3 linked regions of the Saccharomyces cerevisiae S288C genome follow. The protein of the gene in region 2 binds, or shares a complex with, the protein of the main gene of each other region. Each region holds a gene or a part of one and is shown on either strand. Other genes may lie near its edges. The genes, in order: MOT2, UBC4 and UFD4. A codon is read from its position in the direction of its gene.

Region 1 (4,399 bases), on a different chromosome or scaffold from region 2:
TATATGTGTTAAGTATATTACGGGTCTGAAAAATAATATCCAAAAATGTTCCTAATGGAAATGGATAGCGAACAACAACACGCGCGCAAGCTCTTTATATGAAAAAAAAAAATAGAAGAGTCATCAATTACCACCATTCGGCCACAGTTTTTTGATGTAGACTGAGTCATTCGGATAAGAATTCCAACCAACTGCGCAAGAGATTTCGTTGAAAAAATGTGATTTAAGTGAAAAAATTAGCGAAGCAGGTTCCGTGCATTATGATATATATCATGATGATTATTTTCTATGAATTAGTCATTCTTGCAGCGCTGACGCTTTCATACGTTGTAACGAGTAAATAGACTATACTGGTATATGCTATGGCATTATTCATTAGCCAGATACCTTTCCCAGATACCTTTCCACGTCAAAGGTTTAAAAAAATGGGTGAGATTTTTTTTTCTTGCATTTCGTTATAAACGGAGAGATTATATATTCATGAGAAATAAAAATAGATAAAATTATGGTTAATGCAAACAAGAAAAATATTTAGAGTCGGATTAATTACCGGCGATAATTTTCCTTCCGTTGATTAGTTGATTTAGTAAATCAGAGGAATTTCTTGAGCTTGTATCACCCATTTGTTGCTGCTGAATAGGAACCTTATGTTGTGGACCAAAGATACCCGGTGGAGGGGTACTGACGTTTAATGGTGGTTGGATTTGCTGTGAGACGGTTTGCAGTCTTATTGGTTGGGTGGGAGTTTTCGTATTATCTGTGATTGTAATATTGTCATTTACACCAACATTGACACTCTGCAAGAATTGAACGACAGAAGCAGTGTAGTCTATTGGCTTTATAGCCAGGATCTCCACAAGTTTGTTGGCTAATGTATTGTCACTTTTCTTTGAGGCCTCAATCTTGTCCCAAGAAAACAAAGACGGATACTTTTTATAAGTTTCTTCGTCAATAATATTGGATTTGATAGATATAGGGCGCTTCTGATAATTTGATAGAGAATGTAGTCTTGCATCCAAAAAGTCAACAGCATTCCCTAGTGCGTCATAAGGATCTTTGTATTCCTCTGCAGCAAGAGATTGCTTCTTCTTGCTACCATGGGAGTGACTTGTAGCATTGGTATTGGTAGTAGTTGTCGTACTTGTGATGGTATTCTCTGTTGTGGGGGTAGTATGATGGCCCAGAGAATCATTTAATGTTGGCAAGTTTATGGAGCTGCTGTTTTTAGAGAGATTGATAGAGGTTACAGGTGTTGCTGATTGAGTAACTCCCCAAGGATTTGACCCTGCAGGGACCGGAGCAGGTGTTAATACCGGTGTTCCAGCGTTTGTATGGCTGTCATGATGTAACTGAGCCCTCATCGCCGCCGGTGAAGGTGTGCCTGTGAAATTTTCACTTAGTAAATTGGTATTTGAACCAGCGGTACTGGTAGATATATTGTTGTGTATTCCAGATCTAGTGAATGCAGTTCCGCCACTTTGCTGTTGCGCTTGTTGTTTATTGTGGAGTTCTCTTTTATTAAAAGAATCAGCTTCTTCACCAGGTTCATGCAAAAACATACAGTTGGGATTTGGGCATGGCAATCCTCTTAAATAAGAAGAACAGTATTTAGTAGTACCGTAGGCAGCTTTGATCAGGCGGCCATCCATATACGTCCCGTCTACCTGAGCTATACATCTTGCAGCATCGTCCTTGGATCCGAAGGTTATGTAAACGCCATATCCTGGTGAATGATGGTGATAATGCTCGCTGGTTGTGTTGTTAGAATGGGGTGTTTTTCTATTAACCACAATCTTATTTATCTTACCATATTGGCCAAAATATTTTTCAGATTTCAGAGTGGGCGCAACTTCCTCGTATGGAACAGGAGGATTGATGCCAACAACGTACACTAAATTCTTTTGGATAACTCTGGTACCAGATAAATGTTTCCTATTCGTATATTCATTCTCTTTACGTTCTTTTTCTCTATGCTTTCTTTCTTTCTCCTTCCTAGCGAGCTTGGCTCTCTCCATTTTTAACTCCTCCGGAGATAATGTGACGTATCTGACGTTCTCGTCATCATATTTACGACGACATGCTGGGCAACGGCCATTTAATTCTGGATTTTGTCTGATATTATTGTAGCAAAATTGACAAATTTGATAACCACAGGGACAAGGAAAAAAATTTTTATCAGTAATATCCATTGGTTCAATACAAAGAGGGCAATAATCTTCTTCATCCTCCGATAAAAATGACGTATCAAAATTGCTTAAGGCGTTGTGGATTGCTTGCAAATTTTCTTGAACGTGTGGATTCATCATTATGACTGGATTATATACGATACTTTTATTTGGTCTTTTGTACTTTTTATTAAGTTTTGGGATTGTTGCAGAGTAACAAAAGCAGTAATCTATACTATTCGAACCACTACTGAAAACCCTAGGAGGGCTTTTACTGTATGTAGTACACGTCTTGATATGCTTTTCGGAAATTTTGAAAAGAGAAAGCAAAAAAAAAAATCATATTCACACTTACAATGTTACCCGGGAAGAGACGGCAATCAAGTGGAAGTTCGGGTAATAGCATTCATTTTAGAAGCGTCGATATAATCATCGACCAGGTAGTAGTTTAACAATACATTATCAGGTTTCGCGGCGTAACAGTGATACTACTTTATAGCGTTTCACGTCTTCGGGCTCAACATTTCAATAAAAAAAATTCAAAAAGTTGCTAATCGTAAATCATTAAAGGTACATAAAACTACTTATGAATTTGGGAGGTTAGGATTCAGTACTAACACATTCTCTATGACACAACCTTTAATTTGCGCCTACAGGATGTGTTTTGTAATCGACAAATACCATAGCATCTTCATGTGTGCAAACTACTTGAACGTCTATCTTGAAAGGTCTACCATGGTATTCAGTTTCCTCACCGTAATGCCAGGTGATTTTATCAAATGTCTCTTCCTTCGATTTTTCGTGAAATTTAAGCTCAGGTTTCCTAACGGCTTGCTTAATATCTTTCAAAAGATGCTTTTCAATATGCTGGTGCAGGTGACGCACGAACTTCTTAGAATGAGAATTTGCAGCATCACTAATTTTTTCAGGGTCCTCGTGCGACTCGTGTAGCACAAATGGTGGGTAGTAATTTAATTTACAGTGCAAATGATCGAAATCATCATCTTCAGTTTCATTGGCAATGAAAGTTTCAAAACCCTGCAGGTCTTCAAAAACTTTCACGGTTTCACCATCCTCCGTGGTAACCGTTTGAACTTTTACTTCCTTCTTATCCTTCTTTGTCATTTAAAGTGGAGACGAAAACAGTCGATACCTAATTTATATGTTCTATGGGCAATTATTAGAATACAATGCAGAACTTGTCCCTTTATGAAATGTTTTGACCAAAGAAATTTGAACGTGGAAGAACAAAAGATTCAAATATACGCTAGAAATCTTTTGCCTTATATATGTGCACACAATCAAGTAAAGACACTTGTATTTTTCCACCCAGCAATACCCCTTAAGAACGCTGCCCCTTTCATTCTATATTTAATTAACCATACAGTAACTTATAATACCCCTGATTACAGGATGCATTTGTTATGGAAGTCAATTGCCGAGAGCCGTCCACATTATGCTGGTTGCCTCGAGGATATTATTTTTTAGCACATCCGCAATCTCGCCACACCGCATTTCCGTTCCTTCGGCCCCTGAATCTGGGGTAAAAAAAAAAAAAGCAGTCATCTGGAGATTGTATCACCCAAAAAGAAATACGTTTCTGGCTCGTAACAGGTATGACAACACGTTGTCAGAATACCAAAGTTTAGTCTGAACATTTGACTGCGTGTATATCGGAAACGCTGGATTTTTGGTGCCACCTTCTTCGTTCATGGCATATGTGTAAGTCACGTAGGATTAATGTCATCAATTTCATGAGTTGAGTGAAAGTGCAACTTTACAATGTAGTCAACATACTGCACCGTCATCATTACATATTTCAGATTAAGGGTGATAATGCCGCTTTCATAATTCCTATTGAAACCTTGTATTGGCATATGATACTTCAGGAAGATGTGTTCGGCAATCGTTGCTTTTACTTCGGTACTCTTGACAGATTATGTCATTTATTCGCACCAGTAAGGATGTAGCTCTTGTCTTCTGTAGCCGAATTATCGAAGTTAATGAATAATATTACACACAGCTACAGTTTCAGGAAAAATATGAGACGAGTCGCAAATAAGCGGCCATTGTATACATTATGACAAAGTGAGTGTGATAATTACTGCATGGCCCAATGCATGAAAATATGGGTCAACTTGTACCACATTTGCTACAAATGGACGATAACTGAACTGGGCATAAACAAAATTACTTTTTCCTCGATTTTAGTCCTGCTGATTGAGCTAATAATA
Region 2 (2,928 bases):
TTGATTACATATACTAGCTATGCGTTGAACTTCAAAAATTTAAATAGGCTTCACCCCAGAAATGATGTTAATGACAATAGTAATTAACCTACAGATAGACTAGAAATGAAAAAGGTACGGTTAACGTTGACGCTCCCTCGACAAGTTAGGTCAAATATGAACCACAACTGAAATATATGCGGGATATACCCGCGCTTGCGTGCATGTAACTAAGCAAAAATTCTCCATACTGTTCGAGGAAAAAAATGTTCATGAATCTCCCCTGAATAAATTAAATTAAGGTTTACGATTCGAGTTGTTTGGAAAAAAAAAAAAAGGTTCCCCTGTACTGTTGCCAACAATAGTCTTATATCTTATATCAGTAAATCTATGTTATTAGAGATAGAATATACATATATTTTATTGTATTCTTTCTTAAATACATTGTATCTAATATTCTTTTCATCGTCCAATCCCATATAAATCTTGCTTCTCTTTTTCAGCTGAGTAAGGACTTCTGTTTATACAGCGTATTTCTTTGTCCATTCTCTGGCTGTAGCTTCGTACTTGGGTCTGTCAGTCTTGTAGATATGAGCGATTTCTGGTACTAAAGGATCGTCAGGATTAGCGTCTGTTAACAAAGAACAGATGGATAATAGGACCTTCGATAGAGTTAGAGCTGGAGACCATTGATCCTTTAGGATGTCCAGACAGATGTTACCATTGGCATTGATATTTGGATGATATATCTTGGTTGTGAAGGAGATCTTTGGTGGCTTGAATGGGTAGTCGGTTGGGAAATGGATAGACAAGAAGAAAACACCGCCGGCATATGGGGAATCGGCAGGTCCCATGATGGATGCTTGCCAGTGATATAGATCATCGCCGACTGGACCGGCTGAACATGAAGTAGGTGGATCTCTAGTTCAATAGCATGTTGATTTTGTTAGTAAATAAGAGCATAAGTTTTAAAAAAAAAGCACGCATTTGAAACGTGGCCATAACTTTAGACATACCTTTCTAGATCACTTAGTTCTTTAGCAATACGTTTAGAAGAAGACATGTTTTTTTGGATGCTTGTTTATGTATGTACTCTATAGTCAGTGAAATTTATTTACTTGTGGCGATAGTGATTTTCCTGGCTTCTTTACTTTATTTTTTTTCAGGATAGATTTATTCTCTGGATTATTTATTAAGATGAAAAATAAGAATAAAGAAAAAGAAAGAAGGATGAAGAAAAAAGAAAAATACAGGCCAAGGCCTTTCAAGGTGAGCTGTTGCCAGGTTTTTCCGCAGCGGGAAAAATCTCGCAGACCATGTGACCGCCGGTACTCCTTTTCCTGTTGCTCGGCCATTTGATCCTCGCTTCGAGAAAAACTATAACAATTGATTAGTGCGGAGAGGAGGATAGGCGGTAAGATCAGTTTTGTTTATTGTATAAATGAGATACTTTGGAATAAGGACATTAGCCTTATGTTACATCATTTCTTATCACGTAAGACTACTTATTGTCAAACTTTTTATGAAGTCATAAGGTGGACATATGAATAGTGCAGTTACCCTTGTTCAGGAATGACACCTTGTGCATTCCAGTGAGAAAGGAATGTTGACTAAAACAGTAGCTGTGCTTTTTTTTTTCTTTTTTGCCTTTTTATTCTTAATGTTCAAGAAAACTTTCTTTCCATGGAATGTATGAGGACCCTTTATTTTGAGGAATGGGTTCGAATTTATCATGCAAATTGGCAAGAATTTACTAAGTGGACTATATTTAAAGAGTTGAATTTTACGGTGAAAGTAAATTAACGCTACTTCTGTTGTTTTGGAAAAGCCAAGTTCAAGTTTCTTTTCTTGATTATTTATTCTCGTAACGATTTCGCTTTTCCTCTCTATATATTTTCCTACTCCATTCTGTAAAGAGCTTCCAGAACAAAATATAAATAAATAAAAAAAACTTCTCTTCAGGCAAGAGTACGTTCTTCGCTGGTTTCCTACAGAATCAAAAGAGTACTGCAGCTTATTGTACACACTTACAATATTCAAAACATGTGTGGCCTACTCGGTTCCTGGCAAGGTTAAGCCAAGTGGTGTAGTTACCAGAAAAAAGTGAACACATACAAGATACGATGCGTAAGTACATAAGGTATGACAGCCTGTAACAAATCCACGTTAGATTTATATCTTCTAGGCTGAGAATCTGGCAGGTTTTAGCAAAACATATATAACTTGCTCTCATTAAGCGGGCTCACTGCTTAAGCGATTGTTACCTGGAACTACAGGCAAGTACAATAGCCTCCTCCAGCTTTTGACTCTGAAAAAAAGGTAACGAAAGAAACTTTTCACACAGATAGGAACTATTCTAATATTACAGTAAAGCCAGCTATGGAATAACAGGTGGCATGTGCCCACTGTATTCATGTATGAGCGGCCTTTTTTTTCCACGAAAACAGATATGATGATGTTTTAGGCCAAAATGGTGAGATCCTTTTACAGGAAGATTTTACGCCAACTCTTTCCATTTAGTGACACAGGTGAGGGTCTTTTATCGGCGCAAGGTGTTTCAGATGAGCCATTTTGCCCGTAGTCCGGTTTAATCAGCCTCATTGGAATTCCCCGGCACCGCTCGCATTCCGCGTACGACTCAAAGAATTTCCCATTGAATTCGGGAATGTGCGTGTTTCAGATTGCGTTTGCTTATTATTCTGGGAAACTCTCCGGAAACAAGCTGAGCTGGACTCCACGAATGGTCCCTCACAAGGCTCTTGGCTCATGCACAGTTAAAAAGCACCTGTAGCTACCATCAGCAATCCATGGTGCTGGAGTTTCTCTCGATGGTACGGCCCATAGCTGGAGAAAATAGCTTATTACCAAAAAAGTAATTCCCCCGCAGAGGTATATATTAAGTTTGAAACAAAAGGCTTGCTTAATTTTTTACATATGACAACCCTTTTC
Region 3 (6,825 bases), on a different chromosome or scaffold from region 2:
TTTATTTGCGTCATTACATAAATTTAAAGATCCTATGGTCCGTTTTAACGCAATTTCGCACGGAAGGTAACTATGTCTTGAATTTTGCCACTCAGCAATATAAATGTTGGATTTCCTTACCAATTGTCTTTGTATTGATAGGCGCTTTGCAATTAGTGAATCTTTATTGGCTGTTCCTTATTTTTAGAGTTCTTTACAGGATTCTATGGAGAGGTATTCTCAAGGATGACAGAAGTGATAGTGAATCAGACGAAGAAAGTGATGAAAGTTCCACTACTCCAACTGACAGTACTCCAACGAAAAAGGATATTTGAAGGAAAACGGTGTTTTTAAGTAGTATAACCATTACACATTAATTCTTTACACATTAATTCTTTTACGGTCCTGCTCTCACGTTCTTCCTTATTGGTTTATGTAAACAGGTATTTTTATAGTATTCTTTTCCAGACATACAGTGTTATCTTTTTTTCTTGCTTTCGTGCCGCTAAAGAGCTGTGAAGATCAAAAGTGATTTACGCTTAGTTAGCATGAATATAAATTCTCAGTTGAAAAGAAGCTATGTTACATTTATGAGCGTTGCTTTAGTATATCTATACAAAAAAAAGAAATTTTTATACAATGGTCTATTAAAAAAGGCTTCCAAATAATAGTTCAGCTTATTCCATGTTGATGTTAGTGCTTTCAACAGTGGAGCTATCGTTGTCATAGTAGGCCGACACCTTGACTTTGAATTCAGAAGCAGCGATACCGAATTGTTTCAGTATTAAAGCTTGACGAACATCTAATTTTTCTCCTTCAGTGCAAACTAAATATGGACTGTCAATGGTGATCTTACCAGCTTTGATTTTAGTTGGAATTTCAAATTTGTTTCTCATAGTTGGCTCTAAAGAATGAATCATTGGAACATCTTCCTCAGCTGGAATTTGACCACCACGTGAGTAGACAATGCCCTCAGGAATTGTAAATGTTAGTGGTGCTTTCGTGTTCGGTCTTGAATAGTCTGAACGAACGTATGACTTAAAGTATTCCTTGACAGTGTTGACATCCTCATCAGTGAACAATAAACCAGTGACACCGCTACAAAGCTTACTCAATTGATACAGATTTTCTTTGTATTCTTCTTCCCTCTTTTCTCCCAATGCTTTTTGTAAAACTTTCCTCTTACCCATAATTAACTTAGAGCCTGCCCAAGATGTTCTGATTTCTTGTAAAACTGGAGTTCTTACGTCGTCAAGATGTAGGACCCAGACGTATCTATAAGTATCTAAGGCTTCCCTCACTTCATCGAAAATTCTTTCTTTATTTTCTCTGCCCTTTTTATCGGTTTGTGCTAAAGTGACTAGCTTGGAACGTTTTGATCTTGGCATGATTCAACTATAATAAATCTTTTATGGACGATAGACAGTGATGTACGTATAGCAAAAGGAATCAGCTCTGCTTAGCCAAAGTACTACAAATATTTGCAACTTTTCAAAAGCTCATCGCATTTTTCTGGAAAAAAATTTTTTCTTTCACCTTCGCCGGGTAAAGTCCTAATGGTTGGGTTTTCTGAACTGAAATCAAATTGTGGGATCATAGCCAACAGTAGTTGGAAAGGGGAATAGCTTTGATCATACCCAGGGAAAGACCACTTTCTGGGATCGATACTTTCCTTTCTGTGTGCTTTATTAACAACAATATATCTCAGGTGTGAAAATTTTGGATAAACATTTAAAATAGAAGAGTAGCCAAGCATGTCTGAAAATAATTCGCACAACCTTGATGAACATGAGTCCCATAGCGAAAACAGTGATTATATGATGGATACGCAGGTAGAAGATGACTATGATGAGGATGGCCATGTACAGGGTGAGTACTCTTATTATCCTGATGAAGATGAAGATGAACATATGCTTTCTAGCGTCGGAAGTTTTGAGGCAGATGATGGTGAAGATGACGATAACGATTACCATCATGAAGATGATTCTGGACTTTTATATGGATATCATAGAACTCAGAATGGCAGTGACGAAGACAGAAATGAAGAAGAAGATGGACTTGAACGTTCTCACGATAATAATGAATTTGGCAGCAACCCCCTACATTTACCTGACATTTTGGAAACATTCGCACAAAGACTAGAACAAAGAAGACAAACAAGTGAAGGACTTGGGCAACACCCGGTTGGAAGAACACTACCCGAGATTTTATCGATGATTGGAGGAAGGATGGAGAGGAGCGCAGAGAGTTCGGCAAGGAATGAGCGGATTTCTAAATTGATAGAGAATACTGGGAATGCCTCCGAGGATCCTTATATTGCAATGGAGAGTTTAAAAGAACTTTCTGAAAACATATTAATGATGAATCAAATGGTTGTCGATAGAATTATACCGATGGAAACCTTAATAGGTAATATAGCTGCCATACTCTCTGATAAAATTTTACGGGAAGAATTAGAATTACAAATGCAAGCTTGTAGATGCATGTATAATCTTTTTGAGGTCTGCCCTGAATCTATTTCAATAGCTGTTGATGAACACGTTATACCAATTTTACAAGGAAAATTGGTAGAGATCAGTTACATTGACCTCGCAGAACAAGTTTTAGAAACGGTGGAATATATTTCTAGAGTACATGGGAGAGACATTTTAAAAACGGGCCAATTATCAATCTACGTCCAATTCTTCGATTTTTTAACTATACATGCGCAGAGGAAGGCTATCGCAATTGTTTCGAACGCCTGTAGCAGTATCCGAACGGATGACTTTAAGACCATTGTTGAAGTACTTCCAACGCTGAAGCCAATTTTCTCGAATGCGACAGACCAACCAATATTAACCAGGCTTGTAAATGCCATGTACGGTATTTGCGGGGCGTTGCATGGGGTTGACAAATTTGAGACTTTGTTTTCGTTGGATTTAATCGAAAGAATAGTTCAGCTAGTTTCTATTCAGGATACCCCCTTGGAGAATAAACTGAAATGTTTGGATATTTTAACCGTATTAGCGATGAGTAGTGATGTACTTTCAAGAGAACTGAGAGAGAAAACTGACATTGTCGACATGGCAACACGATCATTCCAGCATTATAGTAAAAGTCCTAACGCAGGGTTACATGAAACACTGATTTATGTCCCAAACAGTTTATTGATTAGCATTTCTAGATTTATAGTTGTATTGTTTCCTCCCGAGGATGAAAGAATACTGTCAGCGGATAAATATACCGGAAATAGCGACCGTGGCGTAATTTCTAACCAGGAAAAGTTTGATTCCCTAGTTCAATGTCTAATTCCAATTCTCGTTGAAATTTATACAAATGCTGCTGACTTTGACGTAAGAAGATACGTACTTATTGCTTTACTGAGGGTTGTATCATGCATAAATAATTCCACAGCAAAGGCAATCAATGATCAACTTATTAAGTTAATCGGATCTATCCTGGCCCAAAAAGAAACAGCGTCTAACGCTAATGGTACTTACTCATCAGAAGCTGGTACACTGTTGGTTGGTGGTCTCTCGTTGCTTGACTTAATTTGTAAAAAGTTTTCCGAACTGTTCTTTCCTTCCATCAAAAGAGAGGGCATTTTTGATTTGGTTAAGGATTTGTCTGTGGATTTCAATAACATTGATTTAAAGGAAGACGGGAATGAAAATATTTCACTTTCTGACGAAGAAGGGGATTTGCATAGCAGTATTGAGGAATGTGATGAGGGTGATGAAGAATATGATTACGAATTTACTGATATGGAAATTCCTGATTCAGTAAAACCAAAGAAAATTTCAATACACATTTTCAGAACTCTATCTCTAGCTTATATTAAAAACAAGGGTGTGAACCTAGTTAATAGAGTACTTTCTCAGATGAACGTTGAGCAAGAAGCAATAACAGAGGAGCTCCATCAAATCGAAGGCGTTGTTTCTATTTTAGAAAATCCTTCCACTCCGGACAAAACTGAAGAGGATTGGAAGGGAATTTGGTCTGTTTTAAAAAAATGTATTTTCCATGAAGATTTCGACGTGTCAGGTTTCGAATTTACTTCTACAGGGCTAGCTTCCTCCATAACTAAAAGAATTACATCCTCAACGGTATCCCATTTCATTCTTGCTAAATCATTTTTAGAGGTATTTGAGGATTGTATTGACAGATTTTTAGAAATCCTACAATCTGCTCTCACAAGGCTGGAGAATTTCTCTATAGTTGATTGCGGTTTACACGATGGTGGTGGTGTATCTTCACTGGCTAAAGAGATAAAAATTAAGTTGGTTTATGATGGCGATGCAAGCAAAGATAATATTGGTACTGATTTATCATCTACTATCGTTTCGGTCCATTGCATAGCTTCTTTTACCTCACTTAATGAGTTTTTGAGACACAGAATGGTAAGAATGCGTTTTTTGAATTCATTAATCCCAAACCTTACATCTTCCAGTACCGAAGCTGATAGGGAAGAAGAAGAAAATTGCTTGGATCATATGAGAAAAAAGAACTTTGACTTTTTTTATGATAATGAAAAAGTTGACATGGAGTCTACAGTATTTGGTGTGATATTTAATACATTCGTCAGGCGAAATCGTGACTTAAAAACTTTATGGGATGATACACATACAATCAAATTTTGCAAAAGTTTAGAAGGTAACAATAGAGAGAGTGAGGCAGCCGAGGAAGCTAATGAGGGGAAAAAGTTAAGAGATTTTTATAAAAAAAGAGAATTCGCACAGGTTGATACTGGATCTTCAGCGGATATTCTGACATTGCTGGATTTTCTACATAGCTGCGGTGTTAAAAGCGACAGTTTTATCAACTCAAAACTAAGCGCTAAGCTCGCTAGACAACTAGATGAACCATTGGTAGTAGCAAGTGGAGCTTTGCCGGATTGGTCACTATTTTTGACCAGGAGATTCCCATTTTTGTTTCCGTTTGATACCAGGATGCTTTTCCTACAATGTACTTCATTTGGTTACGGAAGATTGATTCAACTTTGGAAGAATAAGAGTAAAGGCTCGAAAGATTTAAGGAATGACGAAGCTTTACAACAACTTGGGAGAATTACTAGGCGTAAGCTGCGGATTTCAAGAAAAACAATATTCGCTACCGGTCTCAAGATTTTATCCAAGTACGGAAGTAGCCCTGACGTACTGGAAATTGAATATCAAGAAGAAGCAGGAACAGGTTTAGGACCGACTTTGGAATTTTACTCCGTAGTTTCCAAGTATTTTGCAAGAAAGTCGTTAAATATGTGGCGTTGTAACTCTTATAGTTACAGAAGCGAAATGGATGTTGATACTACTGACGATTATATTACCACTTTATTGTTCCCAGAGCCCCTCAACCCGTTTTCCAATAATGAAAAAGTTATTGAACTTTTTGGATATTTGGGGACATTTGTTGCCAGATCGTTGCTTGATAATAGAATTCTTGACTTTAGATTTAGCAAAGTCTTTTTTGAGTTATTGCACAGAATGTCTACGCCCAATGTGACGACAGTGCCGAGCGACGTTGAAACCTGTCTGTTAATGATCGAATTGGTAGATCCGTTACTCGCAAAATCCCTTAAATACATAGTAGCGAATAAGGATGACAATATGACCCTAGAATCGTTGTCCTTGACATTTACCGTTCCTGGAAATGATGACATTGAGTTGATTCCGGGGGGTTGTAATAAATCCTTGAACTCTTCTAATGTTGAAGAATATATCCATGGCGTTATCGACCAAATATTAGGTAAGGGCATTGAAAAACAGTTAAAAGCATTTATTGAAGGTTTTTCAAAGGTGTTTTCCTATGAGAGGATGCTAATACTTTTTCCGGATGAATTAGTGGATATTTTCGGACGAGTTGAGGAAGACTGGTCTATGGCAACTTTATACACAAACTTGAACGCTGAACATGGCTATACAATGGATTCTTCAATCATTCATGATTTTATATCAATAATATCCGCGTTTGGTAAGCATGAAAGAAGATTATTTTTGCAATTTTTAACGGGATCTCCCAAGCTTCCAATTGGGGGATTTAAAAGTTTGAACCCAAAGTTTACAGTTGTGTTAAAGCATGCTGAAGATGGCCTAACAGCAGACGAATATCTACCAAGTGTAATGACATGTGCTAATTATTTGAAATTGCCGAAGTATACTAGCAAAGATATTATGCGGTCTCGTCTTTGTCAAGCCATTGAAGAGGGTGCAGGAGCTTTTCTACTTTCCTAAATTTTAGTTACTTTTTCTATTTAAGTTTTATATGACTTCAAAATTATTTCTTAAGATACAAAAAATGGATGGAATCAGACTAAATTTCTTCGGATTATCCGTACTTTTCTCATTTTTTTGTTTCAACTGGCGATTCCATATTTGTTTATCCATTGCATACAACGAAGGCTTACGGTTATACAGTCTAAAGCTAAAAAAGATAGTAATATGTCGACAGCACAGAAAGCTAAGATATTGCAACTCATCGATTCCTGCTGCCAAAATGCAAAAAGCACACAACTGAAATCTTTATCATTTGTTATTGGAGCAGTAAATGGCACGACGAAAGAAGCTAAAAGAACCTACATTCAAGAACAGTGTGAATTTTTGGAGAAGTTACGACAACAAAAGATAAGAGAGGGAAGAATTAACATATTGTCTATGGATGCTGGTGTTTCTAACTTTGCTTTCTCTAAGATGCAATTGCTCAATAATGATCCGCTCCCTAAAGTACTAGACTGGCAAAAGATAAATCTAGAGGAGAAATTTTTTCAAAACCTCAAAAAGTTAAGCTTGAATCCTGCTGAAACTTCTGAGCTTGTATTTAACCTTACGGAGTATTTATTTGAATCTATGCCGATACCAGATATGTTTACAATTG

The links.
Region 1: the proteins of UBC4 (region 2) and MOT2 are in contact, whole or in part, in a crystal structure (PDB 5AIE), measured with the Saccharomyces cerevisiae proteins. Residues at the interface, in NP_009638.1 of Saccharomyces cerevisiae: Ser2 (codon at 1,039), Lys5 (codon at 1,030), Arg6 (codon at 1,027), Lys9 (codon at 1,018), Pro62 (codon at 764), Phe63 (codon at 761), Lys64 (codon at 758), Asp92 (codon at 674), Gln93 (codon at 671), Trp94 (codon at 668), Ser95 (codon at 665), Pro96 (codon at 662), Ala97 (codon at 659); in NP_010991.3 of Saccharomyces cerevisiae: Pro34 (codon at 2,207), Leu35 (codon at 2,204), Cys36 (codon at 2,201), Ile37 (codon at 2,198), Glu38 (codon at 2,195), Tyr54 (codon at 2,147), Cys60 (codon at 2,129), Asn63 (codon at 2,120), Glu69 (codon at 2,102), Leu70 (codon at 2,099), Asn71 (codon at 2,096), Pro75 (codon at 2,084), Ala76 (codon at 2,081), Arg78 (codon at 2,075).
Region 3: the proteins of UBC4 (region 2) and UFD4 are in contact, whole or in part, in a cryo-EM structure (PDB 8J1R), measured with the Saccharomyces cerevisiae proteins. Residues at the interface, in NP_009638.1 of Saccharomyces cerevisiae: Met1 (codon at 1,042), Ser2 (codon at 1,039), Ser3 (codon at 1,036), Ser4 (codon at 1,033), Arg6 (codon at 1,027), His56 (codon at 782), Pro58 (codon at 776), Thr59 (codon at 773), Asp60 (codon at 770), Pro62 (codon at 764), Phe63 (codon at 761), Lys64 (codon at 758), Pro65 (codon at 755), Lys67 (codon at 749), Cys86 (codon at 692), Lys91 (codon at 677), Asp92 (codon at 674), Ser95 (codon at 665), Pro96 (codon at 662), Ala97 (codon at 659), Asp118 (codon at 596), Leu120 (codon at 590), Val121 (codon at 587), Pro122 (codon at 584), Glu123 (codon at 581), His126 (codon at 572); in NP_012915.3 of Saccharomyces cerevisiae: Ser1166 (codon at 5,229), Tyr1167 (codon at 5,232), Leu1261 (codon at 5,514), Leu1262 (codon at 5,517), Lys1264 (codon at 5,523), Ser1265 (codon at 5,526), Leu1266 (codon at 5,529), Tyr1268 (codon at 5,535), Ile1269 (codon at 5,538), Ser1281 (codon at 5,574), Leu1282 (codon at 5,577), Ser1283 (codon at 5,580), Leu1284 (codon at 5,583), Thr1285 (codon at 5,586), Thr1287 (codon at 5,592), Pro1289 (codon at 5,598), Gly1290 (codon at 5,601), Asp1292 (codon at 5,607), Tyr1313 (codon at 5,670), His1378 (codon at 5,865), Val1430 (codon at 6,021), Glu1435 (codon at 6,036), Met1448 (codon at 6,075), Cys1450 (codon at 6,081), Tyr1453 (codon at 6,090).

Annotation. Positions count from the first base shown.
Region 1 is NC_001137.3:290,957-295,355, reverse strand, and holds MOT2 (CCR4-NOT core ubiquitin-protein ligase subunit MOT2), read right to left. Parts: upstream 2,307-4,399; coding exon 543-2,306; downstream 1-542. Other genes in the region: RGI1 (Rgi1p), read right to left, coding at 2,805-3,290. UniProt on the Saccharomyces cerevisiae protein: E3 ubiquitin-protein ligase component of the CCR4-NOT core complex, which in the nucleus seems to be a general transcription factor, and in the cytoplasm the major mRNA deadenylase involved in mRNA turnover.
Region 2 is NC_001134.8:406,128-409,055, forward strand, and holds UBC4 (E2 ubiquitin-conjugating protein UBC4), read right to left. Parts: upstream 1,043-2,928; coding exon 996-1,042; intron 901-995; coding exon 501-900; downstream 1-500. UniProt on the Saccharomyces cerevisiae protein: E2 ubiquitin-conjugating enzyme that catalyzes the covalent attachment of ubiquitin to other proteins. Mediates the selective degradation of short-lived and abnormal proteins. Mediates ubiquitination of PEX5.
Region 3 is NC_001143.9:420,784-427,608, reverse strand, and holds UFD4 (putative ubiquitin-protein ligase UFD4), read left to right. Parts: upstream 1-1,733; coding exon 1,734-6,185; downstream 6,186-6,825. Other genes in the region: sphingosine N-acyltransferase LAC1, read left to right, coding at 1-314; ribosome assembly factor MRT4, read right to left, coding at 657-1,367; CCE1 (cruciform cutting endonuclease), read left to right, coding at 6,393-6,825. UniProt on the Saccharomyces cerevisiae protein: E3 ubiquitin-protein ligase which accepts ubiquitin from an E2 ubiquitin-conjugating enzyme in the form of a thioester and then directly transfers the ubiquitin to targeted substrates.